4 linked regions of the Drosophila melanogaster genome follow. Each later gene encodes a partner of the first gene's protein in a complex. Each region holds a gene or a part of one and is shown in the gene's direction. Other genes may lie near its edges.

Evidence for each region.
Region 2: fl(2)d (region 1) and Mettl3 share a complex: the UniProt entries of both Drosophila melanogaster proteins name them as parts of the WMM complex.
Region 3: fl(2)d (region 1) and Flacc share a complex: the UniProt entries of both Drosophila melanogaster proteins name them as parts of the WMM complex.
Region 4: fl(2)d (region 1) and vir share a complex: the UniProt entries of both Drosophila melanogaster proteins name them as parts of the WMM complex.

What each region holds. Positions count from the first base shown.
Region 1 is NT_033778.4:13,819,114-13,826,081, reverse strand, and holds fl(2)d (female lethal d), read left to right. Parts: upstream 1-1,528; 5' UTR 1,529-1,953; coding exon 1,954-2,290; intron 2,291-3,906; exon of another isoform or gene 3,907-4,316; intron 4,317-4,524; coding exon 4,525-4,649; intron 4,650-4,712; coding exon 4,713-5,046; intron 5,047-5,112; coding exon 5,113-5,927; 3' UTR 5,928-6,458; downstream 6,459-6,968. Other genes in the region: CG13339 (uncharacterized protein), read right to left, coding at 651-871, 925-1,162. UniProt on the Drosophila melanogaster protein: Associated component of the WMM complex, a complex that mediates N6-methyladenosine (m6A) methylation of mRNAs, a modification that plays a role in the efficiency of mRNA splicing and is required for sex determination.
Region 2 is NT_033777.3:24,030,441-24,034,773, forward strand, and holds Mettl3 (methyltransferase like 3), read left to right. Parts: upstream 1-1,716; 5' UTR 1,717-1,756; coding exon 1,757-1,895; intron 1,896-1,957; coding exon 1,958-2,251; intron 2,252-2,319; coding exon 2,320-3,713; 3' UTR 3,714-3,817; downstream 3,818-4,333. Other genes in the region: KrT95D (krueppel target at 95D), read right to left, coding at 54-328. UniProt on the Drosophila melanogaster protein: Catalytic component of the WMM complex, a complex that mediates N6-methyladenosine (m6A) methylation of mRNAs, a modification that plays a role in the efficiency of mRNA splicing and is required for sex determination.
Region 3 is NC_004354.4:18,888,457-18,895,315, reverse strand, and holds Flacc (Fl(2)d-associated complex component), read left to right. Parts: upstream 1-1,679; 5' UTR 1,680-1,863; coding exon 1,864-2,557; intron 2,558-2,630; coding exon 2,631-3,273; intron 3,274-3,455; coding exon 3,456-4,575; coding exon of another isoform or gene 4,576-4,647; exon of another isoform or gene 4,648-4,770; intron 4,771-4,834; coding exon 4,835-5,249; intron 5,250-5,442; coding exon 5,443-6,023; 3' UTR 6,024-6,338; downstream 6,339-6,859. Other genes in the region: SdhBL (succinate dehydrogenase, subunit B (iron-sulfur)-like), read right to left, coding at 1-291, 423-654. UniProt on the Drosophila melanogaster protein: Associated component of the WMM complex, a complex that mediates N6-methyladenosine (m6A) methylation of mRNAs, a modification that plays a role in the efficiency of mRNA splicing and is required for sex determination.
Region 4 is NT_033778.4:23,360,324-23,368,343, reverse strand, and holds the start of vir (virilizer), read left to right. Parts: upstream 1-1,988; 5' UTR 1,989-2,089; coding exon 2,090-2,155; intron 2,156-2,220; coding exon 2,221-2,897; intron 2,898-2,956; coding exon 2,957-5,844; intron 5,845-5,897; coding exon 5,898-6,594; intron 6,595-6,650; coding exon 6,651-7,712; intron 7,713-7,776; coding exon 7,777-7,951; 3' UTR 7,952-8,020. Other genes in the region: Ice1 (uncharacterized protein), read right to left, coding at 1-1,240. UniProt on the Drosophila melanogaster protein: Associated component of the WMM complex, a complex that mediates N6-methyladenosine (m6A) methylation of mRNAs, a modification that plays a role in the efficiency of mRNA splicing and is required for sex determination.

The sequences.
Region 1 (6,968 bases):
GCTATAAGTTTAAAAAAGTATTTTAAAACTTCTAGGCTTACTACTTCTCTCTCAAAATTTAGAAATTACCGATTGAGGATTGGATTTTTATAGATACTAAAAAACATTTTCAAAACAATGTTATGTTATAAATTTCATAATATTTTTGCTTGGCTTCTACAAAATGAAAATTTTTTAAAAAGTACTGCTTAATTTTAAAGCATTGTAGCTAGAAATTTCAATTTCAAATGAGTATTATTGCTTTCAATATTGTTATCAGATTGTTTATAGCTAAAACAAATATATTTTTTTTGCAATGTCGGTTCATGTCATTATGTTAATAGGGTTGGAACTGAAGATATCAATCCGAAAAACTGCCGGCTTTGCTCTGCTATAAATCTGTACTGAAATATTATATAATGTTAACTACTTCTTCACATTATATAGATCAAATGTATGCACTTGTTTTGTAGCTTTTTTCCAGTTCTTAAACAAATTTAGAAACTATTTAGAATAATAGAACAATTTTTGGATTAACACTTATTTTATTTTATTTACATATTTGTACAACAGCCCTAATATTAGATATTTAATGTTGTTCATATAACAAATATCCCGAACATCAACAATATTTCCTTATGATCTAATGACCCTTATGATCAGTTAAGCTTTCAGCCCTTTATGCAATTGGTTATTTCGGTCCAGAAGGCCTGAACTTCAGGATCCTGCATTAAACTACGTTTCTTAGCGTTCAAAACTATGTTGAGGATGTCGGCATTTTTGCAGCAATCCCGTCTGGCGGATTTGCCATCCGGCGCCTCCGGGGAAAAGCCTTCCGTCTCCTGGTCATCCATTGGATCCACTTCACCCGCCGGACTGCCCAATTGTCCAACTGCAAAATAACAATGTATTTGGGGGAATCTATTGCTTAATCAACTTAAATACCTTTCTTGCACTTGGTCGCCTCTGTTTTCGGTTTTTCTGTCCGTTTTTGGTAGGGTTTTCTTGGTTTTGAGACATCTTTCGTCTTGCTGCGCTTGGCATTCGCATCGGTGGGCAGCAATTCGGGACTCTCGGCGGGATTATCCGCATCCTGCTGCAGGCGCCGCTTGACGTGCAGATTCAGGCGCTCCTTGATGTTTTGCTGTTCCAGTTTTATTTGCACACCAGTGGTTTCTGCCATGTTTTTGCGTTTTGAATATAAAAACAATATCCAAAACAGTCCACCAGTGTGACCCCTAAATAAATCTTACAAAAAAATAAACAGTAACGTAAGATACAACTTTCTCACTTGTATTTGATTGTTCCTAATTATTTCTAACTATGTAAATATCGTTAGTATTGGATGCAAAGCTATGGCGGTAGACGTAAGGAAGGAATTATCAGTGCAATTTAGAAGTTAAATAAATTTGTTATCTAATAATTATTTGGCAAAATTTGTGGCAGTGTGAACGGAACTGGGTTGAGTCTCCGCTACCCCATATCCGAGCCACGCACCCCAGGTCTGCATTTGTGTCGATGGCAAATCTGGTATTTTTCAGCGACGCCATGTTGGATTGCGAACAACAGTTAACAGCAGCAAACGAGAAATCAGCTCGCAGCGCAGAAAAATTAAAAAATATCGCCGTAAAAGTGAGCCCAACCGACCCAAAACATATGAAAAGTGTGAATTAAAGGACAATAAAGATATAAATCATTAATTAAGCTTTGAGCAAGCGCGAAAAGTACGCGAAATCAACGTTTTGCAAAACGTTCGCCATACGCGTCGCCATTGGTGTGAGCGATAGCTTGCCTGTGTGTGCGTGTGGTATTGGAGGAGGTGAGAGCGCCTGTGTGTGTGTGTGTTTGCGTGCGTGTGTGAGAGCGAGCGAGCGGCCCCTATGAAAAGCAACAGCAACAACGCCAGCAAAGGACCCGCAACAACAACAACAACAACAGCAAGAGTAACAAGCACAGCGTTTTAATATCCAAATAATGAGTGTCGCTGCAATGACTATGGACGATCAAAGACCCTGTATGAACAGTTACGACAAAATGCCCCCGACCAAATACGAGCAAAACCTAAATATCCTAAACAGCAGCCAAAACAGTGGGGCCACTGGCGGCCCCGCCTCCCCAACGCCCTCCGGCTTGGAGGACCACCATCATCATCACCATCCGCATCCGCACCATCATCACCATCAGGAGCAGCAGCAGCAGCAGCAGCAACAGCAACACTTGCAGCAGCAGCAACAACAGCAGCAGCAGCAACATGCAGCAGCTGTTGCAGAGGCTGTTGCAGCCGCCGAACAGCGACAGCGCTTGCTCGAAGGTATTTTGCACATTTTGGTACACTGCTATATGATCAGAGATCTATCTGATCTATATAATACCCCCTATATACTACATACATACTCGTTTCGAATACCGACAAAAAAAAAAAGAAAAGGAAAAAACCACGATCCAAAGTGTTGACTCTGTGTAAATTGTATAAATAATGCAATATATAAACAACAAGTAAACGTAGTCTTTTAGTTTATTTCTGCCCCCACTCCACTTGGGTTTCTTGTGTCATTTGAATTTGTTTATGAAAAACACTCGGTAAAGAACTCAACGTATATATTATGTGAATCGAATCGAAGCGAACACTCTTTGCAACGAACATTCTTTCAGCGGCGTTTTGGTTAACTTTATTTATTTATTTTTTTCAACACCACCTCGAGCAAACCGTCGAATGTAGTGAAAGTGCTTTCAAAAAGGACCATGCATATAATAATCTATAATACCTAAATATGAACTAAGTTAAAAGGCAACTGACGCCTAAAGTTATCAAGTGATTACAAAGTGTTGTGCAACAGAACTATCTAAAATATAAAATATGAGTTAAATAATCATAAATAATATATGAGAATCGTAACCAATTATAACCAGTAAGCTGAGCTAAGCTTTAATATTGAAAGCAATCGTACTTAAAATAAAAAATTATAAAATGAATCATAAGAAGATAAGGTTAACGAAGTAAAGTTTAAGATTTTATATAATCTTAATGAGAAAACCGGGCTGATAATAACATCAAATGAATAGAGCATATCAAGTAATAATAGTAGAGAATCCTAATCGGAGATTTTCCTCGTTTTCCGTCGTTTTTGCGGTGTACAGTTTTCGTTTTGCGACCACTTTTCGTTTGCCTACGTGCCCGTTGAAGAAGAAGAAGAAGCACAGCAGCAGAGAAGTGGAGAGGAGAAGAAGAGAGCCAACGTGTCTGCGTCCCCTGCCCCACCCCCTGGACCCATCTTATTCTCTCTCTTCGCGCCCCTCACGCTCTTTTCGTCGCGCCTAAATATAAATAATAATATTAAATAATCAATTGAAAATGTGACAGTGCATAACCAAAGAGAAAATAAAGTTGAAATTCTTTTTCTGTTGAAATTGTGTTAAAGAAGTGAACGTCAAATGAAAAAAACATTGCCTCGTGTGTTCAAACAAATACAAATGTTTAAATAAATGGCGCCAAAATACGGCGAACATGTGTGCGTTTGTGTGTGAGTGTGTATATTCACAATTGTTAAGCTTACTTAATTGATTTTTAAACGCTTAATTGGCCGCCAATCAATCAATTAACATGCAATGTGGGACACACGCACATGCACACATTTGTTTGCCCCGATCAAATAGTATATATAAATATAAAATAATTGCTTGGCTAAGTAAATACAAAAGCGAAGTTATATATGTACGTGTTTGCACAACAAATCCAACAAAAAATGCAAAGTCAATAAACTTTTTGTATGACAAAAGAGTGTTCGAAAATGCCGCAAAAAAGAGAAGGGGAAAAGCTTTTGAAATCCATGCATACATACATCCATGCATAGGCATACGAAAAAGCTTCCGAAAGCCCATTGTGTGTGCGTCGAGTTTTTTGCAAGTGTTTTTCAAAAATATTTTCAGTTTTGCCACAAAAAATATGTATACCAATCAGTCATCGTTGTTTTCCACAGTGTATGCAAGTTCGAAAATGCCGCGAAGATTCAAATTCAATCGCCAATCAAGTTCGATGCAAATGCAAATGCATAAGCAAAAGCAAGAAATCAAAATGCAAATAATGGCAGGTGTTCAAGTTATTCAAGTGCCAATGATAATGCCAGAGATAACGAAGCAATCGAAATCGAAATCCAAACCGCAAGCGAATTCGATACCGAAATCGATATCGTGTTGTCCAAGTTCAAGTGGTTCAAGTTGTGACACTCGCATCGAATCAAAATCTAAATCAATATCATTATCAGCCAGAGATTGACGACGGGATGCGGCCTTTTCCACCGACCATGTCACGAACTTACACGAATGATTGCAACGCATTGGTATGATTTCGTATTAAGTTCCACCTAAAAAAACAAACACTTTGCCTTGCCCATTAAGAACTTGTAAAATATCTATGTATATATAGTACGATATTGTTATATCTCGTGTGCGAACCAAAAAAAAAAAAAAAAGACAGTGGCTCTCTCAGCTTGGAACGCCCGTTATCTAGACCCCATTATTAGCTAATCCTTATCCTTCGATTCGCAGATGAGATCGAGAATCTCAAGCTGGAACAGGTCCGCATGGCTCAGCAATGCGCGGACGCCCAGCGACGCGAGAAGATCCTCATGCGACGGCTGGCCAACAAGGAGCAAGAATTCCAGGACTATGTGGTGGGTACTCGCCTTAATATACACAAATTTCTCAAATACTAATGCACCCGTAATCCCCATTAGAGCCAAATTGCCGAGTACAAGGCCCAACAGGCGCCAACTGCCCTCGCATTGCGCACTGCTCTGCTCGATCCTGCGGTCAATCTCCTGTTCGAGCGGCTCAAGAAGGAACTTAAGGCCACCAAGGCCAAGCTGGAGGAGACCCAGAACGAGCTGTCCGCATGGAAGTTCACGCCGGACTCTAATACCGGCAAACGCCTAATGGCCAAGTGCCGACTGCTCTATCAGGAGAACGAGGAGCTGGGCAAGATGACCTCCAACGGCAGACTGGCCAAGCTGGAGACCGAACTGGCCATGCAGAAGAGCTTCAGCGAAGAGGTCAAGAAATCGCAGTCGGGTAGGTTAAATCTGAACTAGGATTGGGATCGAAACTTATAGATATGTAAACTCCTTTACCATTTAGAGTTGGACGACTTCCTGCAGGAGCTGGACGAGGATGTGGAGGGCATGCAGAGCACCATTCTGTTTTTGCAGCAAGAACTAAAGACCACACGCGATCGCATACAAACGCTTGAGAAGGAGAACGCCCAGTTGAAACAGGCCATCAAGGATGAGGTTGTGGCTCCAGCGGCTGCCACCAACGGTGGCACCAACACGACGATAAATAAGCTAGAGACCATTCACGAGGACGCTTGCATGGCGAATAACCCAACGAATCCGGATTGTTACAATGGGAATACCAACAACGAACAGATCGCGGCCGTGCCACAGATACCACTGTCGGATGATGGCAGCAATATGAACGGAAATGCAGCGCGATTAGCCCGCAAACGAAACTACCAAGAGGAGGAAGCCCTTCCAACGGTAGTGGTGGTGCCGACTCCCACCCCAGTAGGAAATAACGTCCAGGAAGCGCCGCCCATCAGGGAAGTTACCGCCCCACGTACTCTGCCGCCCAAAAAGTCCAAGCTGCGAGGCATTACCACGCGTCGCAACTCCCAGCTGGAGGAGGATCATCAGCCAGTGACAACACCAGTGGCCGTCCCCATGATCGTGGACAACGCTGTGGCCGGAATGGCGAGCGAAGAGGCTGCTGCCGCCGCTGCGGCTGTTAATAACAGCAATACGGGAATAATCCCGGAAACGGGAGTGCAAGTGGGTGTCCCAGTTGAGGGCGGCGATCCAGGTGCTCCGGCGGCACCGGGCCGCATCCTGACCCGTCGTCGGTCCGTCCGCATGCAGCAGAACGGCAGCGGAGCAGTCGACTACTCCACCTAAGCGCTGGCGAACCTTTTTCCAAAAAAGGGTGCACTCCATATGAGTTCGTCAAATTGATCGTTAATTCCTGACGTTTACTTTTGTGAATTGAGATTTCAAAACAGAGAGAGACTTCATTTTATATTTCTAACCTATCTTTTAGATTCTTTAATTTTTTTTACACATTGTCTTGTAAAATACGTTTATTATTTCGTTTGCATGCGGCGTAGACATACATAATTCGCAAATTATTTAGAAGTCACTGCTTTACATACGAAATGCATTATGTAGAACAGTGTAAAACTTCAGCACATATATTTACAATAATACGATCGAGCTAAATGATAATGCTAAAAACTGATACACTATTTATGTTTTTTAACCACGGCATCTACTGAAAAGCTGAAAAGAAAGCTTGGTCAAAACAAAACTTGTCATTTAGCAAAATTAGGTTTTAATTATCAACTTAAGGCATTTTTGTAATACTATGAAAGTTGTGTAAAATAATATAAACTTGTGTTAAAATAAATTGTTAAGCATAACAAATATTTCAAAAAACCAGTGTCCTTTAATTTCAATTGCCGCCCAGCAAAACAATCGTTTTGATTTTCGAAATTATCTTGTGTTTATTATCAGTTTCTTCTTTTAGCACATTAGACAAATGGTTTTACTTGTATTTGATTGAATTCGAAATATGTTTATGTATGTAGTACAATTGTGGCTGCCAGCGAGTGTGTTTGTATCCTTTGTTTCGTTTGTGTCTGTGAGAAGAGTTTAAACTTGAGATCGGGCTAAAATGTTCTGGTAAAGAGGCCTGCAAGCTTGGCATAGTTTGATATTTGCTTTACCCTACTTTCAATCGAAATGTACAAAATGAGTAGGGATGTGGTGAGACAACCTGCAAGGGGGTTAAACGTACTTCCGATTCCATATTAAATAGTTAATAACAAATACTAGGCAGTTCGAATGGCACAAGTTGATTACACTACCATGGGGAAATGTGGGGTGTCTAAAGCTTAGCGAGTTCTGTTCCGATCGGAGGAGATATCCTTTCGGCTGAGA
Region 2 (4,333 bases), on another chromosome or scaffold:
CCCTACGTCGCATTTTGTATGTATGTACATAAGTGAAATTTGTTTACACTCACCTTGGGATGCAATTGGGCGGCGTTCGGTCCACTTCCCAGGCGGCGAATAGCTTCATGGGCACCGGTTTCTGGCCAGTGGTCATTCCTGCTCCGGCGGACAAGCCAGCCGTTCCGGATATGCCACCAGATCCGGAGACTCCTCCTCCGCCGCCGGAACCGCCGCCTCCTCCGCCACTTTGCAGGTTGAGCGGACCGCCTCCAGGGCCGCTGCCGCCGGTGCCGCTGATTACGGCAAATTTATCCACCAACTTGGACGACTTATCGACCATCTTCATGTTGTTTCTTTGCTGGTTCCCGTCGAAAGGTATTTTTTGTGTTCTTAACTGTTGTTTATGTACTTGGGGTGCACATTATTTCGATGCAAACTGGGGAATATATGTCGTCGAGCAGGCACATAATTTTCAGATTTTCTGATAGTTTTCACAATTCAATATTTCGAAAGTTTTTTTTTGTCGATTTTCTGGTTAGCCCGCCAATACATACATATACACACGCACGAACGGACATACACGCACGTTGGGGAAGGGCGTGCCGCCGCCTTAAAAAAAGAAGCGAAGAGCTGTAGTATACACAGTGAAAAACGAGGGGTGGTTGGTGGGTGTGTGGGTTTCTTCTTTCGTTCTTTCTTTCTTTCTTGTTGTTGTGATGGGGCGCGCGCTGCAACTGCACTCGCACTGAATCAATATGTATGTACGCGCTGCGGAATCTGTTGCGGATTAGACAGCTCCTTCTCCTCGGCTGCTAGCGACTCGGAATCGGATTTGGATTCGGAACGGACTCGGAAGCTGCTGCTGCTTGTGCTGCAGCTTTGGATCGCGTCGAAAGTGCCGCGAACGAACCGTCATGCTCCAGAGTAAAAGTGCGAATGTCGCGTTATAAATCTGGCCCCAGTTCAGCTGCCTCACTCTCGCTCTCTCTTCTCTCTCTGTCACCCTCTCTGTATCACGACCCAACAATAACAATGTGTGCAAATGCTATGTGCACACACACACATAGACGAGATTTTCGCAAATCCCCACTTCTGTGTACGCGCGTGTGACTGTGTTTGAGTGCGCGCACTTAATGCTTTGCTCTCTCTTGCGCGCATAAACAAAAAAGAAAACGCCACGAATTTCGGGGAGCAGGCAAAAGGCGGCACTCGCTCTATTTCTCTTCAGCACTCGCGCGCGTTTTTATCGCGAGTCGATCACAGGTTAAACTGATTGGGTTATTATTTACGATTGGAGCGGTTTTCATCAAATATTTATGCGTTTCGGCACGTTTTATTTGGCAAAATGTTGCGGAGCAGCTATGTTGCAGCTTCCGCTTTTTGCGATGGGGAGCGGAGCAGTGTGGCCAGAGCGGATTCCTTGAAAATATCAACTGGGCGGTGCGGGTAAAATCGTATATACCAATCAATAAATAACTGTGTGTGGTCCAATAGATCATACAAATTAGAATAAGAAATATAATGGGGGCACAGCAATGTTAATACTTTCAACGTTTTTTAATTTTAATTTTGAATACCAGCCTACTTCCAACACTGGCCCTTTTAACGTTCTTGATGGTAATTTAAAATTTACTTGTGTAAAATGTATAAGTAGATTACCTTAGTTTAGTATTTTAATGTAACGTGTTTACCTGCAATGTGAACACGGTCACACTGCGAGCCTTTGTAAAAAAAATTTCATTGTTTACCAAAGGCCGGCAGCGTTTTATAAACAATGGCAGATGCGTGGGACATAAAATCACTCAAGACAAAGCGGAACACGCTCCGCGAGAAGCTGGAAAAGCGCAAGAAGGAGCGCATTGAGATTCTCTCGGACATTCAGGAGGATCTGACGAATCCCAAAAAGGAACTCGGTGAGCACCGGCAATGGCAACAAGTTGGAGCCACAAAAATGAATATATTTTTGCATTTCCAGTTGAGGCTGACTTGGAAGTACAGAAGGAGGTGCTGCAGGCCCTCAGTTCCTGCTCCCTGGCCCTGCCCATTGTCTCCACACAGGTGGTGGAAAAGATTGCCGGCAGCAGCCTGGAGATGGTGAACTTTATTCTAGGCAAACTGGCCAACCAGGGTGCAATTGTGATCCGGAACGTGACCATCGGCACCGAGGCCGGCTGCGAAATCATCTCTGTGCAGCCCAAGGAGCTGAAGGAGATCCTGGAAGACACCAACGATACGTGTCAGCAAAAGGAGGAGGAGGCCAAGAGAAAGTGTGGGTCTCACAGAAATTACTACTCTCATAAGTCTAATAATTATAATAATTTGCTGTTGATTTTACAGTGGAAGTCGACGATGTTGATCAGCCACAGGAGAAGACAATAAAACTGGAGTCCACTGTAGCGCGGAAAGAGTCCACAAGCCTGGATGCTCCGGACGATATTATGATGCTGCTATCCATGCCTTCCACCCGCGAAAAACAGAGTAAGCAGGTGGGCGAGGAGATTCTTGAGCTGCTTACTAAGCCTACGGCCAAAGAGCGATCCGTGGCTGAGAAGTTTAAGTCCCACGGCGGAGCGCAGGTCATGGAGTTTTGCTCCCACGGCACAAAAGTCGAGTGCCTGAAGGCTCAACAAGCCACCGCCGAGATGGCGGCCAAAAAGAAACAAGAAAGAAGAGACGAAAAGGAGCTTCGCCCGGATGTTGATGCGGGCGAAAACGTCACCGGTAAGGTACCCAAGACAGAATCGGCAGCCGAGGATGGAGAAATCATTGCGGAGGTTATAAACAATTGCGAAGCCGAGTCGCAGGAATCCACCGATGGCAGCGATACCTGCAGCAGTGAGACAACAGACAAGTGCACCAAACTGCATTTCAAAAAGATCATCCAGGCTCACACGGACGAATCTCTGGGGGACTGCAGTTTCCTAAACACCTGCTTCCACATGGCCACCTGCAAGTACGTGCACTATGAGGTGGACACCCTGCCGCATATAAACACAAACAAGCCCACGGATGTGAAAACCAAATTGAGCCTCAAGCGCAGCGTAGACTCCAGTTGCACGCTCTATCCGCCGCAATGGATTCAATGCGACCTACGCTTCTTGGACATGACGGTCCTGGGAAAGTTCGCTGTGGTGATGGCCGATCCTCCCTGGGATATCCACATGGAATTGCCCTACGGCACAATGTCGGACGATGAAATGAGAGCACTGGGCGTGCCGGCACTTCAGGATGACGGCTTGATCTTTCTGTGGGTCACTGGACGAGCCATGGAACTTGGCCGCGACTGCCTCAAGTTGTGGGGCTATGAGCGCGTGGACGAACTCATCTGGGTAAAGACCAACCAACTGCAGCGAATTATTCGCACTGGGCGCACTGGTCATTGGCTAAACCACGGCAAGGAGCACTGTTTGGTGGGCATGAAAGGCAATCCCACAAACCTGAACCGCGGACTCGATTGCGATGTGATCGTTGCGGAGGTGCGGGCCACCTCTCACAAGCCGGATGAGATTTATGGTATTATCGAGCGTCTAAGCCCGGGTACTCGCAAGATCGAGCTCTTTGGGCGTCCGCACAACATCCAACCGAACTGGATAACCCTGGGAAACCAACTGGATGGCATTCGACTGGTGGATCCGGAGCTAATTACGCAGTTCCAGAAGCGTTATCCAGATGGTAACTGCATGTCGCCAGCTTCTGCCAATGCGGCGTCGATCAATGGAATACAAAAGTAGGATTAAAATAGTATTTGCTGTATGAATTGAGACCTCGACAAGCCAGAGCTGTGTACAGACTCAATTATAGTAAGATAAATTATTATTAAAGCTTTTACAAACCGAAATGGCTTATGTGGAACATTTAATAATGAATGAAGGCAAGTCCATCATGCAGACTAAAGTTAAATTTGCCCTTTTGGGAATTGAAATGACTTAAACATCAAATGCCATTAAATATCACTATATGTTAATCCACACATATAGATAGGTTTATTGCTCATACTAGGGGATTTGCGCGTATTTACAAAAGTGCGATATCACCGAACCCGGTGATTCTCTAGATGTCGTATATATTGGTTTATATAGAACGCAGTACGTGTACATATCACTATCAGCTATGCACGATATTGGTTGTTTCGTTACTCGAATATGCTGGTAACAATAGCTTATTTGACTTATCAGAGAGAACATGGTTTATGTAAGTTAATATACGATTAGAAATGCAGCGTACACAATGTGCTCGACTGGCCACTGCTCCAGCCCAATTCCTGCTAGTGTACTTGATGAGTGTATTTACAAGTCAGGAATGAGAGCATCGGCATGTGTCCGTTCATAGTTTGCTTTAGTTTTCGTAACAA
Region 3 (6,859 bases), on another chromosome or scaffold:
TAGCAGGCGGAGGAGGTGGTGGAGGTGGAGGCGTTGCTGGTGCGTTGCCCGAAGCTGGCTTTCCGGTGGACGCTCCTCCGGGCTTGGCGGATCCGGCGGCGGCGGCAGCTGCTCCTCCAGGCTTGGCGGCTCCGGCGGGGGCTGCTCCTCCGGGCTTGGCGGCTCCGGCGGGGGCTGCTCCTCCCGGCTTGGCGGCTCCGGCGGGGGCTGCTCCTCCGGAGTACTGTCGTTTTGTGGCGATTCCTCCGGCGGCTGATCCTCCGGTGGCTGATCCTCTGAGCCCTCTTCCTCCTTTAATGAATATAGAAATTTCAGTTAAGCATATCAATAAGTGCAGGTGTCATTTATGAAATGTCATTATGACAAAGTCATTGACAACCCAGAAAATTGTGGAATCAGAAAACTTTTCACTTAGAACTAACCTGCTCCTTGTCCACCTCCTTGGAGGCTGGAGTGGGTGCACCGGGGTACCAGGGATACGGCGGATACTGGGGTGGCGGCAGCCAGCGCTGGTCCGGGTATCGATAGGGTGGACATAGGCGCCGCAGGACGGGAAACGGGTTCGGACACATCCCTGTTGGCCAACACGTAATTTCTAAACAGCCACGTGCTCCGTTTATTCAGCAGCCGAGGCTGCCGGCGCAACAAATTCATCGGTTTTCGAGCGAATGAATGAGACTTTAAGTTAAAATGTGTACTTATAAAAATATATGTGTTTTTTTTTTTTTTTTGTTGAGAGAGAATGTGTGCCGAGGCGATGAGGTGTTGAGGTGTTGAGGTGTTGAAGTGTCGAACTGTGTAGCAAAACTGAGGAGAAGCCGGTGAAGTGCCCGTAATACGACTTGACACTAGAGGCATAGCCAGCTGGATTTGAAAATCTTTTCGAAATGAAAAGTTCAGTTTAACTGAGTAGTAGAACAGGCTGCTTTATACAATGTTTTGGATGCGTGGAATTTAAATCAACTAAAGAGAGTTCCTCGACTATAAGATACCCGTTACTCAGCTAGTGGATGTGAGAACGCGAAATTTTATCATTTTCTGGGCAAATCGATAGAAATTTACAAGATTAATAAAAATGCGAAAAAAGATCAACAAACTTGCGCTACGTCTTTGTCTCTAGAATCTGTATGCTGGATCTCAACCTTCTAGGTACGGACATGGCGGACAGACGGACATGACTAGATCGACTCCTGATCAAGAATATATATACTGTACATGGTCGGAAACGCCTTCTTCTGACTGCTACATACTTTTCAACAAATTTAGGGTACCCTTTTACTCTTCGAGTAACGGGTATAAAAATGGATAACAAGTCAGATTTGAATCCCCGTTGCTGAACCGGTAAATTGATATAGAAATTGTAATTCAATCCAAAACCGAACTCATTTTAAGCAGAAATTGTTACAAAAATACAATATATTAATATAAATACAAGTATTAATTAATATTATTAATTTTAATAATATTTTTAATGTTAAATTAATATTTATTTATAGTTAAAGGCACTTAATTATTTAATTATATTTTATTATAATAATGTGATACAATAATAAACAATATTTTCAAACTTATACCGATCGATATGTACCGCCGTGCTGACTGTAATCGATGGTCGCGATGCCCTGCCAATCGACTATCGATAACAACAAACACGAAGATATAGAGGAAAATAGAGAAGAAGAAGAGTTAAAGAAAACGCCAACAAAATAGACAACAAGGCAAGTCCGCGCCTCCGAACAAGGACATTATACCACAAGACACGCTGCAACTAGTTATAAGCCGCATAGCCGTGCTGATTTTCGACCGGAGTACGAAAAGAAAGCAGCCAAAACGGAGGCGCGCAGGCTAGCGGAGATCGCGGCGATGGAGAAGAAGGCCAAGGAGTCGCTGCGCCGCTACAAGAAGGCCGCCCGTCACAGTGCGACGCACTCGAGCAGCTCGGACTCCACCTCGGACTCCGACAGCGGGAGCAGCTCGTACAGCAGCACGGACAGCGAGCAGGGCGTGGGCGGCGTCGGCGTGGGGGTGGGCGTACCTGGTGGCGCCGGTGGTCCCGGCGGCAGTGGCAGCGTCCACGGTCATCCCCATACCCACGGCCATGGGCATCATCCGCGCTCCGCGGAGCGTCATCATCGCAAAAAGAAGAGCTCACGGCGCGGCGGCAGCTCGTCCGGAGATGAACCATCGTCGTCGCGCCGCAAGCGAGACAAACGGGATCATGTGCAAAAGAAGCTGGTGGCCAAGCGAAATCATATCAAACGGAAACTGAAGGAAGCGCGCCTTAAGAAACGGGCGGCCGCCGCCCTCAGTGGTCACGTCCATCGTTCCCTGTCGCCGACGACGCGAGCCAAGCTAAAGAAGCTGGCCGAGCGAAAGAGGCTACGGGCTGCCAGCAAGGAGCAACGGGAGCGGGACAAGCTGCGCGTCGTCCAACGAGACAGAGAGCGAGACCATCATCGATTGGGCAGCAGTAGGAGTCCGCCGAGCAGCAGCACTACCACCACCACCAAGATTCGCATCCATCAGGACATCGTGGGTAAGCGGCAAAAGAGTCCAGGTAACTATCAGATACTACATATAGTTATGTCTAGGCTCAACCCACTAACCCATTAATTTTGCTTGACTTTAAGGTTTAGGTTCTGGTCTTGGAGGCGGCAGCAGCAGCTCATCCTCGCGAATGCATCACCAACTGATGTCGCGAGAGAAGATCATCATCCAGACCCGCGCACGTGGACGTACTCCGTCCCTGGAACGGGAGCGGGAAAGGGAGCGCGAGCGAGAACGAGAAAGAGAGCGCGAACGCCACGATCTCTCATTGCGGGAGCGAGATCGTCGGGATCGGGAGCGCGAGCGTGCGGAACGGGAGGCAGCCAGGGATAAGGAGCGCGCTGAGGCCTTGGCTCGCTGCCAAGAACGTCAACGGGAGCGGGAACGCTTGGCTCGCGAAAAGTTGCGTCGTCAGGAGGAAGAGGAAGGTGGTAAACGCGGTGGTCCCGGTCGAGACTTGGATCTTCCGCCGTATGGCAGCCGGGAGCGATCGCTGGACACCGTCGAAAGGGAACGAGAGCGCGAACGGAGCGGGCGTCATGTCCGCGATAAGCGCGAGTTGGATCCCTACGAGCGTGAGCAAGAGTATCTGGAGGAACGACACGGCCACGGGCTGATCGACGAGATGCGAAGGTATCGGCGCAGGGACCTCAGTCCCATGCCTGAGCATTATGCACCCAGACTGCGGGATCCGCGGGAACTGTACTCCGAGGAGGAGCGGGAGAGGTAGGTTTAGGTTCTGCACTTAACTATTCCACGAAAAGCTGAAACTGTACCATTTTGGTTACTTTTTTCTGTTACCTAGAACATAGTTAACTAGGTAGCAGAACGGGAACCTTTTCTCATTAATGTTTATGGCCACGAAATCGGCATTAGCTAATCCGCTGTTTGGGAATTCCTTATTTTAGAGCCTACAAACGCGCCTATCTAGATGCCCGCTATTCCTCGCGGGAACGAGAAGCCTGGCTGGAGGCACGCGAGTTGCGGGAACGAGAGCTGCAAGGACGCGAGTACCGTGACCTCGAAACGGAAGACACCCTCTATCCGGACGAGCGGGAACGTCTAATCCGGGACAGGGAGCGTGATCGGGAACGAGAACGTGACCGCGAAAGGGAACGTAATATTGGACCCCGTGGCGACTTCCGACCGGAGTGGGAACGCGAGTGGGAGGAGGAGGGAGCTGGTGGCGGCCCAGGCGGACCTAGTGGAACCCCTGGGCGACCGGGTGGCTTTGTTGGCGGACCCAAGCGGGGCAAACCCCCAGCTCATGCGGGCGGAGGACCTCCCTCGCAGCAGCAGCACCATTCTGCTTCGGAGCCCGACTGGGATGCGGACGAGCGGGAGCGAGAGCGGGAACGAGAGCGCGATCGGGAACGCGAACGCGATCGTGAGGATCGACCGGACACAGGAGGCGGAGGCGCTGGCGGCGATAGGCCATCTATCAAAAACGAGCCCGCTTGGTTGGAGCACGATCAGCGGGAAAAGCCACGCGGCTGGCAACAGCAGTCGTCCAATTCTGGAGGTGATTGGCGGGATAACGATGACGCGCCGCCAGCACCATCGCATCCGCATCCAGCTTCACCGCACCACCATGTGCATCCGAGGGGCGAACGAGGATCCGGCAGAGGATTCCGGCGCGGAGGCCACGGTCATGGCGATCACGGCGAGCGGCCCGGTTACCGATCGCATCCGCCACCGCTGATGACGTTGCCGGTGCAACCGCCTGGTGGTTACTCACGCGGATTTCCCCATAAGAGATTGCCTTATGGATCTGGCCGAGATGGCGCCGCACTGGGCGCCCGTGACGGCGGACTGCCCGGATCGTCGACTTTCCTCAAGAAGCACACGCACGCACCGCTGGTCTCGCCGACGCAGACACCACTCCTGAATCCACTCCTCAACGCGGCCAAACCAAATGCTGCCGCACAGGCGAGTGCTGTGGCGGCGGCCACCACAGCAGTGGCAGCGGCTAAGGCTGCGGCCCAAAGCGCCGCCAACGCCACCACCAATCCCGGAATACTGGCTCAGGTGCGATTGATTTTCGTTTACTTCGCTGCAGAGACATCGGATGCGGCCTATCATATCATTTGGCGGCAATGATTTCGTCTTTGTTTATAATTATATAAATGTGTTTATGTTAGCTGAGTGCAACGTTCATCCATTCGAAATCAATTGTTCACCAACCGTTGTGCAATAACGTAGTCATTTTGTCCAGCGGAAATGGTAAAACCATAACTTTCCATTAGTAATAAATTTCTCTTATTGTAATCCTCATTCGATGTTTAAGGTAAGCAAACTAAATACCGTGTGCATCAAGCAGGAAGATGCGTCCGAGGACTCCGCAGGCACACCTGAACTGGGCGCCCAAGATTCGCCGACCCAGAGCCTGAACCTGAATCAGTCGCTGTCTTCCGAGGGCAATCCAGTTAAACAGGAGCTAATCCGCACCAGCGCCGTCGAGGGTGAGCTGAGCGAGATTAGCGACAGCGATGACGATATTCTCAATAAGACGGACAAGGTGCGGCCCAAGAACGAGCTGCCCACGGAGACGGAGCAGGAAATGGACACCAATGCGGATGAGGTCAAAAGCGAGGCACTCCACATTGTGGCTGGGCATCCGATCAAGGGCGAGGAAGGGGACGAGGTGCTGGACTTTGAGGAAATATCCGATGGCGAACTCGAGGAGGATGCACGCCACAAGGGTGAGTCACTCATGTATAAACATTTTTCCTTATCCGATGACAACATGGTAGTCACAATGCTTGTCAATACTTGACTCGGACTCGGATTTATGGTCACATTTATTTGATTAGTATTCAATGGTCAGGTGGAAATGATGAATGATTACAGTTAGAGGCGATAGTTATATGTAATTTCCCATCTCCCATTCCGCAGGCATTGGCGATGCTTTGGGCGTGGACTGGCAAGGATTGATAGCAGAGACCCGTCAGCAGGCCAGCGATGCTCAGGCGGCCCAACAGGGCGTGGATCGCGGCACATCCGCCAAGCAGAGATGGCAGCCATATCGCGTGCTCCTCGACTTGGGCATATCGTTCGGAATGGCGGGCGAGGGCTACGCCCGTTGCGTAATGGAGGAGGCGCGCCAGCAATTGCTCCAGGAGAAGGAACAGGGCCAACAGCGCGAACTGGATGGAGACGAGGAGCCTCCGGCTAAGATACCCTCGCCACTGCTCGACTATCGCGAATTCCTGGCCAGCCAGCAGCAACTGGAGCCACTGGCCTGCGTGCAGATGGGTCTTCGCAGCGCCGCCGTCGAGCGCCAGCGTTTGGTGGGCAATGTCTGCGGTCCGGGAAGCCGAGCTCTGAGTGCTCGCCAGGATTTGCGCTTGCGCCGCCAGCTGTGCGGATTGCCAGCACGCGAATGCGAGTTCCCGCGCAGTGTTCCCATCGTGGGAGAGGGACTGCGAAACCTGGCAATGCAAATGTTCCAGCGCAGGCTTCTGGATGTCAAATGAGATCCGATGCCCGGCGTGCAGCGAGAGCTGCGTTACCGAAAGCCACGTCACTATCGACTGGATATACAGATCTTTATGGGCGTGGAGAAGGGCAAGGCGACGAAACGAGACCACTACTAGGTGGATTTTAGGAATAAGCTTAATGTTTGAGATATAACTTGATTTCGATTATTGATTCAAACTTGGAAATTGTGAAAATTGTGAAATATGAATTGCATTATAAAAATTGTAGATTATAAATTGATTATGAATTATACAAAATTGTGAATATCAACTGCATTAATACATGTTCGAAATATAAAGTGTCGTCCCAATAAACAGAGTGTATTTTCATTTCATTCCTGAGCTCGGAACTCAATGCATTGCGGAAGTTCTGGAAAGGATGTGGTGCTTGTGGTAGCGACGAAAGGATGGGAAACATTTGGTATTTTTAATAGTAGATTTATTATATCGTCGTTGGAACAGTTTTATAAGAAACCTAGTGCCGAAAACAATGTTAAAATAAATGTTACTTCAATAAATACATACATTCATAACGAACGGCTATCGTGTATGTGTGTTAGGCTATTCGTAATAAGCAACTCAGGCCAGGCATCGTGGAATAATCTGCGTACATTATACAACTTAAGATATCTCCTAAGGATTAGCGGTACCCAATCTCCAGACCTAATACTAATTAATGTATGTATGTATGTGCTGGGCTATCACATGCGATGGAAAAGCTGTTCGCAAAGAGCGTAGCAAGGATTCCGGACTTCCAGATTCTCTGATCGCAGCCAAATGAGTGAGTCCACCGATGTACAGTTAAGGTAAGGGTATGTGTGTGTGTAGAAAGT
Region 4 (8,020 bases), 9.5 Mb from region 1:
AATCCGCCTGACTGACGCTTGGTGGCGTGGCCATGGACGGATTGGAGCGCCTCTGCAGCAGGGCAAGCACCATTTGGCCAAAGACCTGCCACAGCTCCTCGAAGGCCTGCGGCGGCAGATTGGTCAGGCAGCTTTGGTTTTGAGGTAGAAAGTTGAACAGCTCCTTGGCGAGCTCCCTGGAGGATCTGGCCTCCTCCTTTACACTATCCAGCATTGTTCGTGAGGGCGGCCTCGAGGCGGACACCTTTATTTGTGTCGGCAGGTCGGTAACGAAATCAATCTCGCGGTGTATATCACACAAAGTGGTACAGGTGGCCACACTCGCATTGGTCGGTACGTCCTCGAGCTGCAACTCCTGCTGCAGATCGCTCAGCGGACTCATGGGCTCAATTACGACATCATCTCGCCACGATAGCATTTCATCAAGTATCTGCCGAATATTTGGCAGGGGCTTTGGTTCGGGAAAGCATGTGCCCACATCGTGGTGCTTGATGAAGGAGGCTGTAGTGGTTCCCCGGGTGGTGGTGGTGTTCTTGTGTTGCGTGGCCTGGTTGCGCGTCTCTATCAGACCTTCCACTTGCACAGCAACAGAGCAAAGCGCGGGCTTGGGATCAGCGGGTTCCTCGTCGGTTTGCGTAGATTGGTTGACTCCGGGCTGATGGGCTTTCCGTTTGCTACGTGAATTCGGGCTCTTTGGCGTGGGCACGCTTACGTCTATAGTCTTGCAGTGCTCCCTTAGCTTCTTCATGATGTTCTGATCCCGCCGCAAAAGTCCACAATCGTCGCCCAGCCGCTGGGAGAACTGCATGAGTATGGACAGCACATCCTTGGCTTCCACGGGTAGTCCCCGCACTTGCAGCTGCTCCTGCAGATTCTCGCAGTTCCCAACCTGTACGTCCAGCTCCTTTTCCAGCTGTCCGCATCGCTCGCCGATCTGCTTGGTGCGCTTCTCCAGCTCGATCCTCTGTTGCTTCTCCTTCTGGTACAGATCCGTCACCTCTTGGGCGGTGCGCTGCAGGTCGGCCAGCTGTTTGTTTTGAGCCTGCAGCTGTTTCACCTGGCGGATCAGCTCGTCGTTCTGGGCTATTCGCTCGGCCAGCCGGCTTCGCTTGGCGTACACATCTTGGTTGCTCCTGGGCAGCGACACCTGCTTATACGGCGCCACCAGAGCATCTTGCAGCGGTGCGCTTGGGCCCAGAAGCTGATCTATATTGAAGTCGGAGAACTCGTCCAAATTCATGTTGCGCAGACTTGTTGTTGCTGGATTTCACGTGGTTGCGTGTTCAAGCGCCACTGCGGTTCTAGAACTTGCAGAAAACAAGGAGAATCCTCATTTTCCACACAATTCGCTAGTCGGTCACGAGTTGGACAATATTAAGCTGCGCATCTGGCGATTTAATACACAAAACAGAGAAATAAAACAAAATCCGCGTTTTTCTCTGCAGCCGGTCTCCAAAACATTTCCCTTATCGACAACCCAGCACGAGCCTATCGATATATATGGTATGGGACTATTTTATGGAACTCTTATAGGTCGTTCTCACTACTTCGTTTTTGATAGTTCACACTTTATTTATAATAAGAGGTTCGAATTATAGTTTGATAATATTGTAGAGGAAGTAAATTTTGAATTACTGATAATAACTAAATTTACATGATTTGCGTGCGTCCATTGAAGGGAAACAAATGTACTCTGAATCAGTGCGATTCCCTGCGTTAGGTTTAAGCCTATGGTTTTTAGGGCTATTTTACAATCTTTTAGAAAACATTGAGAGCATCATTACCAAAAATGGGGAATATTGAGAAAAAATCCAATTCATTTCTAGACATGAGCCAATTGTGACGTTAAAATTTGATGCATTGTTTTGCGCAAGCTACTAGACTGAGACAATTTTTGTTTAGTTTTTAAAGATGTATTCAACATATTCTAAAGCATACCCTCTTGAATACCCCTACCAATTGTAGTAGAGCAATTGATGATATCGATCACTTATCGTCTTAAGTTCCATCCCTAGCAGTTGCGGAAAATAAATAAAACTTCCGGACTGTAGAAGATTTTACTGAAAAAGACTCGATTTAAGCACACAACATGGCCGACGTAGACGACGGGTCCGAGCTGCTGTTCTTCGACACTTTCTCGCATGAGGAAGTGACGGTAAGTGCCTCCAGAAGCCCCCACTCGGTGCATTCGCTGAACCCCACTTCCTCCTCTCCTCATAGGACATCAATTTGGATTTGGTGCAGTTTCCCAAGCCGGTCTTCATCACACAGGTGCGGATCATTCCTCTCGGCGCCCGAGTCCAGGCAGACTTTCCCGGCGGCGTTCGCCTGGGCGCCACCAACCCCTCCAAGTTCGACCTGGAGTTCTTCGTCAATGACCTGGGAATGCCGGCTGCGTCGGCATTCGAGAACCTCGGCCTGCTGCGTTACAACCAGAACGACTGCATTCACTTGGATTGCTCGCAGGAGAAGATCGTCACCGACGGTCTGGTGCTGCGCGGCTGGTACAGCACCATCACACTGGCCATCTACGGCATTTTCACCAACTCGGTGACCGAGCCAATCGCCAGTCCAACGCTGCCCTGCGAGCCCGTGGGCCCGGAGATAGCCAACCTGAGTGGCGAGGTGCTCCTCCAGGAGGATGTGCTGAAAGACGAGTGGCAGGAGCCGATGCAGGCCGAACTGCTGACCGCTCACAAAGGAAATGTCAGCGATTACGATCCGGAGGACATGGAGTATGGAATGTCGCGGGATCATTACCACCAGCATGCCGAGGAGCAGGAGCAGCGAGAGATGCGACGACTGCGTCGGTCCACGCATTCCACGGATCACTCACCGCCACCGCCCAGAAGATCGCACACGCATTCGGAGAGCAACGACAGGGAGTACATCAGGTGGTAAGTGGTTATCTGTTTTATTTATTATATTCAGACTTATCACAGACCTTTCATTGCAGTTCCCGCGACAAGGGCTCCAGGGATTGGTCGCGTTCACCGGAGTATTCCAGCCATCGGTCACGTCGCAAGCGCTCCGAGAGATCTCGCTCCGTTGTGGACGAGCACAAGTGGCCCAGAACCCCGCCCGCGTCGATAGACTCACCGACACGTCCGCGTTCGCCAGACACGATGGACTACGAGGACGAGGACTCGCGCTCCCACTACAAGATGCAGTCATCTCACTACCGGCACTCCTCCGAGTCGCTGCACCGTGGTGAACGGGATCGGGACGATGAGGACCGATCGTGCACGCCGCAAGAGCAGTTTGAGCCCATTCTCAGTGACGACGAGATCATCGGCGACGACGAGGAGGACGACGCAGTGGATGCGGCTGCCATTGCGGAGTACGAGCGGGAGTTGGAGGCTGCTGCTGCCGCTGCTCCTCCGGCCATCGATGCTTTCGAGCCGTGGCAGAAGCCACTGTTGGTCTTTGAAGGGGACATGGCAGCCCACTTCTGCAAGGAGCTGGAAACTCTGAAGCTGCTCTTTAAGAAGCTGGTCCTGCAAACCCGCTGTGAGAATGTTAATGCCTTCAGCGAGGAACATGGCGCTAGTGTGGACGAAAGGGAGCAATTTGTGTACTTGGGTGAACAACTGAACAACCAATTGGGTTACCTAGCCCAGCACTACAAGCGGAGGAACTTTGTCCTGCAGCAGTTCTTCGGAAACGATGAGCTACATCTGCGACAGGCGGCTAACGTGCTGCAGATTGCCCTGAGTTTCCAGGCGGCATGCATGCAACCACAGCCAGCTTTTAAGATCCGCCACATCAAGCTGGGTGCGCGAATGGCTGAACTTCTGGGCAGTAGCGAAGAGCTCTTCCAGCACTTGTTGAAAGAGCACAAATTCGATATCTTTGAGGCGGTGTTCCGGCTGTACCACGAACCGTACATGGCTCTGTCCATCAAGCTTCAGCTCCTCAAGGCCGTCTACGCCCTGCTGGACACCAGGATGGGTATCGAACACTTTATGGGAGCGAAGAACAACGGCTATCAGATGATTGTTGAAGCCATCAAGACAGCCAAGCTGACCAGGACGAAGTACGCACTGCAGGCGATTATAAAGAAGCTGCATTTGTGGGAAGGCCTGGAGAGTGTACAGATCTGGTGCCGTCGTCTCTTCGTGGACCGAATAATCATACCTGGTAATCGCGATCAAATGGAGGACACAGTGATAACTTGCCAGCAGATAGAGTTTGCCTTCGAGATGCTGATGGATGCACTGTTCTCCAGCCAGTTGAGCTACTTGCAGCCGCGTCGCTTTCTGCCCGTGTCCAAGAAATTCGAGGTGGTGACCGATCCCACGGCGCAGCGCAGTTTCGGAAATGCCCTGCAGTCCTACTTGGGACAGAACTCACTGGCGGAATCCCTGCTGGTCATGTTGGCAAACTGCAAGGAGTTGCCGGCCACGACGTATCTAAGCATGCTAGACTTGATGCACACCCTTTTGCGCTCGCATGTCGGCATTGATTACTTCGTGGATGATGCTTTTCCTGTAACGCAGACGATTGTGGCCATACTGCTGGGCCTGGACGAGGTTCCTCGAAACCCGGAGGAAAAAGAGGAGAAGGCAGAGAAGTCGGATGCAGAGGACAAGGCAATGGAGGTCGAAAATGAAGCTGTGGAAGCTGGAGGCGAGAAGCCAACTCCACCGACGGCCGACGAGGAGGGGAAGCCAGTTGCGGCCCCGATTTCCGTTCCAGCTCCAGCTGCTGCTCCTCAAGTGCGACCCAGGCCGATCCTGCGCCCAGTACTGCCACGCCTGGCCAGGTTGGGCATCGAAATGTCGTACAAGGTGCAGACGCGTTACCACCTGGACGCCATTGCTTACGCTGCCGCGGCTCCCGAATACGATGCCGTCAAGTTGGCCACGCATATGCATGCCATTTACTCGCAAACCTGCGATCCGGCTGGGCGGCAGCACACCGTGGAGGTGCTGGGCTTGAATAACAATCTTAAGATCTTCATGGATCTGATCAAGAAGGAGCAGCGTCTGCAGACGCAACGCCAGCTGAGTTCGCCGGGCACGAAGTACAAGAGTCCGGTATTGAGCTATGCCGTGGACATGGTGGACGCCTGCGTCCGCTACTGCGAGCAGTTGGACTACCTTATCGAGCACGGAGGTGTGATCCTGGAGCTGGCCAAGAACCACGAGACCTTCGAGCCCTCGGTGTCGGCCGTCCTGCAGGAGATGTACGTGTACATGAAACCCTTAGAGGCCATCAATGTGTTCGTATACGATGACATTATGCCGCTGGTGGAGGTGATAGGACGCTCCCTGGATTACCTAACCACTTTTCCCGGAGATCTGATAATGGCCATGCGGATTTTGCGCTATCTCTCCATAAGCAAGCCGCTGGCAGGTCAGAAAGCTCCTCCAGTGACCGAGGAGCTCAAACATAGGTTCGTGGCCCTGCAGCTGTACGCGGCGGATGGTGTCCAACTTTGCATCCAGATCATGGAGCGACTATGCGCCTACTTCGAGCAGCCGGGTGCGCACGCTCCCGCCCTGATGACCATCCAGGGAGTGCATTGCTGCCAGATCATGCTGCCAACGCTACAGATCCTCCGCGAGCTGCTCTCCTACGCGATTCTGTGCAGAGACGGCACCTACAAGGACCTCACAGCCATCGATCACCTGGTGAAAGTGTACTACCTGCTCTACTACTTCCCCACGCGCTGCCAGGCGGGACCCGAGGTGGAGCAGTGCAAGATGGAGGTGGTCCAGACCCTGCTCGCCTACACCCAGCCGAACGAACAAGACGAGGAGTCGCTGCACAAGTCCCTTTGGACCCTGATGATCAGAGAGGTGCTTAAGAATGTCGATGGTCCCGCGCACTTCATTCCTGGTAAGCTAGACTTTGCAAGAGATCTGATCCATCTAATGATTCCTTCCGTACAGGACTGAAACTTTTGGCGGAGCTGCTTCCACTGCCGCTGCCTATGCCCCAGCCGCTATGCGACCAGTTGCAGCAGCAGCACAAGCAGCGTCTGATTACCGAGCGGAAACTGTGGTCCGCCCACTTGCATCCCCAGAGCGGTCAGATCGCCAAGCTGGTGGAGGCACTGGCTCCGTCCAGTTTTCCGCAGCTGTCCGAACTACTGCAGCGAGTGTGCATGCAACTGTCCGACCTGGCGCCCAACATGACGCTGCTGATCGCCAAGACGATCACGGAACTGCTGTGCAATGAGTACCAGACATCCAACTGTATTCCGACCACCAACCTGGAACGGCTGCTTCGTTTCTCCACTCGCTTGTGCGCTTTTGCCCCTTTGAAGAGCTCCATGCTGTCCATACTCTCCGGAAAGTTCTGGGAACTCTTCCAGTCGCTGCTGGCACTGAACGAGTTTAACGACGTGGTTTCCAACTGCCAGGAGGCCGTTCACCGCATTCTGGACAGTTTCCTAGACTCGGGCATTTCGCTGATTTCGCACAAGAGCACGGCTTCGCCCGCTTTGAATCTGGCTGCCGCACTGCCACCCAAGGAGCTCATTCCGCGAATCATCGATGCGGTCTTCAGTAACCTGACAAGCGTGGAGGTCACGCATGGCATATCGATTCTAGCGGTGCGCAATCTGGTCATCCTCACGGAGCACGAGTAAGTTCTGAATATCACTCGCACGCTTTTAATATTAATATTATCTATACCGCCAGCTTCACTTTCTACCATCTGGCGCAGTTGTTGAAGCAAAAGATCACCGAGTTCCAGGCGTGGATGGAGCGCGTGATCCTTCACAACGAAACGGTGGAGTACAATGCCAACATCGAATCTCTGATCCTGCTGCTGCGCTCTCTGACCCAAATAGAACCGCCGCCCGCCATGTCGGCCATGCCACACCGCACTCTGAAACTGGGCGCCACAGAGTTGGCTCAGCTGGTTGAGTTCCAGGACATTGAGCTGGCCAAGCCACCGGTGCTGAGCCGCATTCTCACCGTCATGGAGAAGCATAAGGCAGTGGCCAATGAGGCGGCGCTGAGCGACCTCAAGCAGCTGATCCTGCTGCAGGCCTCTAAGCAGGAGATTCTCGCCGGAACCAGTACGGAGACGCCACCAGAGGCGGAGGGCGAAGCCAATCCATCTGCCAGCAGCTGCAGTGCATCTCTGACCGTGGAGCCCTATCTGCCACAGGCCGAGGGCATTGTCACACAGTACGAGGCGCGTCCGATCTTCACGCGATTCTGCGCCACCGCCGAGAATGCCCAACTAACGGCGCGCTACTGGCTGGACCCGCTGCCCATCGAACTGATCGAGGACATGAACGAGCCGATCTACGAGCGCATTGCCTGCGATCTCACGGATTTGGCCAACGTGTGCCTCAATCCGGACTTGAATGTGGCTGGCGATAGCAAGCGGGTCATGAACTTATCCGGCTCGCCCCAATCCAATCGGGAGATGACGCCCACGGCGCCTTGTTTCCGCACGCGCCGTGTGGAAGTTGAGCCCGCGACTGGTCGACCCGAAAAGAAGATGTTTGTGTCGTCGGTAAGGGGTCGTGGTTTTGCTCGGCCACCACCTTCCAGGGGCGATTTGTTCCGCTCCCGGCCGCCCAACACCTCGCGACCGCCATCGCTGCACGTGGACGACTTCCTGGCCTTGGAAACTTGTGGCGCCCAGCCCACAGGACCCACCGGCTACAACAAGATACCCTCAATGCTGAGAGGCTCCCGGGTGGGTCGCAACCGAGGATCTCGAATCTCGGCAGCAGCTGCCTTTAGGTAAAGTGTCACGATTACCACTTAGCAGGATAACGCTAATGGGCTCTTTTTACTCTTTTAACAGGCAAAAGAAGATGATGCGCATTGGTTCGCCCTCCAGCTGGGCAGAGTCCCCCGGATCGTATCGGTCTGCCTCGGACTCCCACTTCAGTAGCAGCGACTCGCACTATTCGTCGCCCCACTACAGTGGACGGCCGCGTGGACGAGGCCTGCGTTCCAGGCCATCCTACCTGAGATAGGAGGACATTGCAGCCCAACCCGCTTCTCACTGACACTTCCCGTAAACTCGGCAAACGAACCAGAACTAG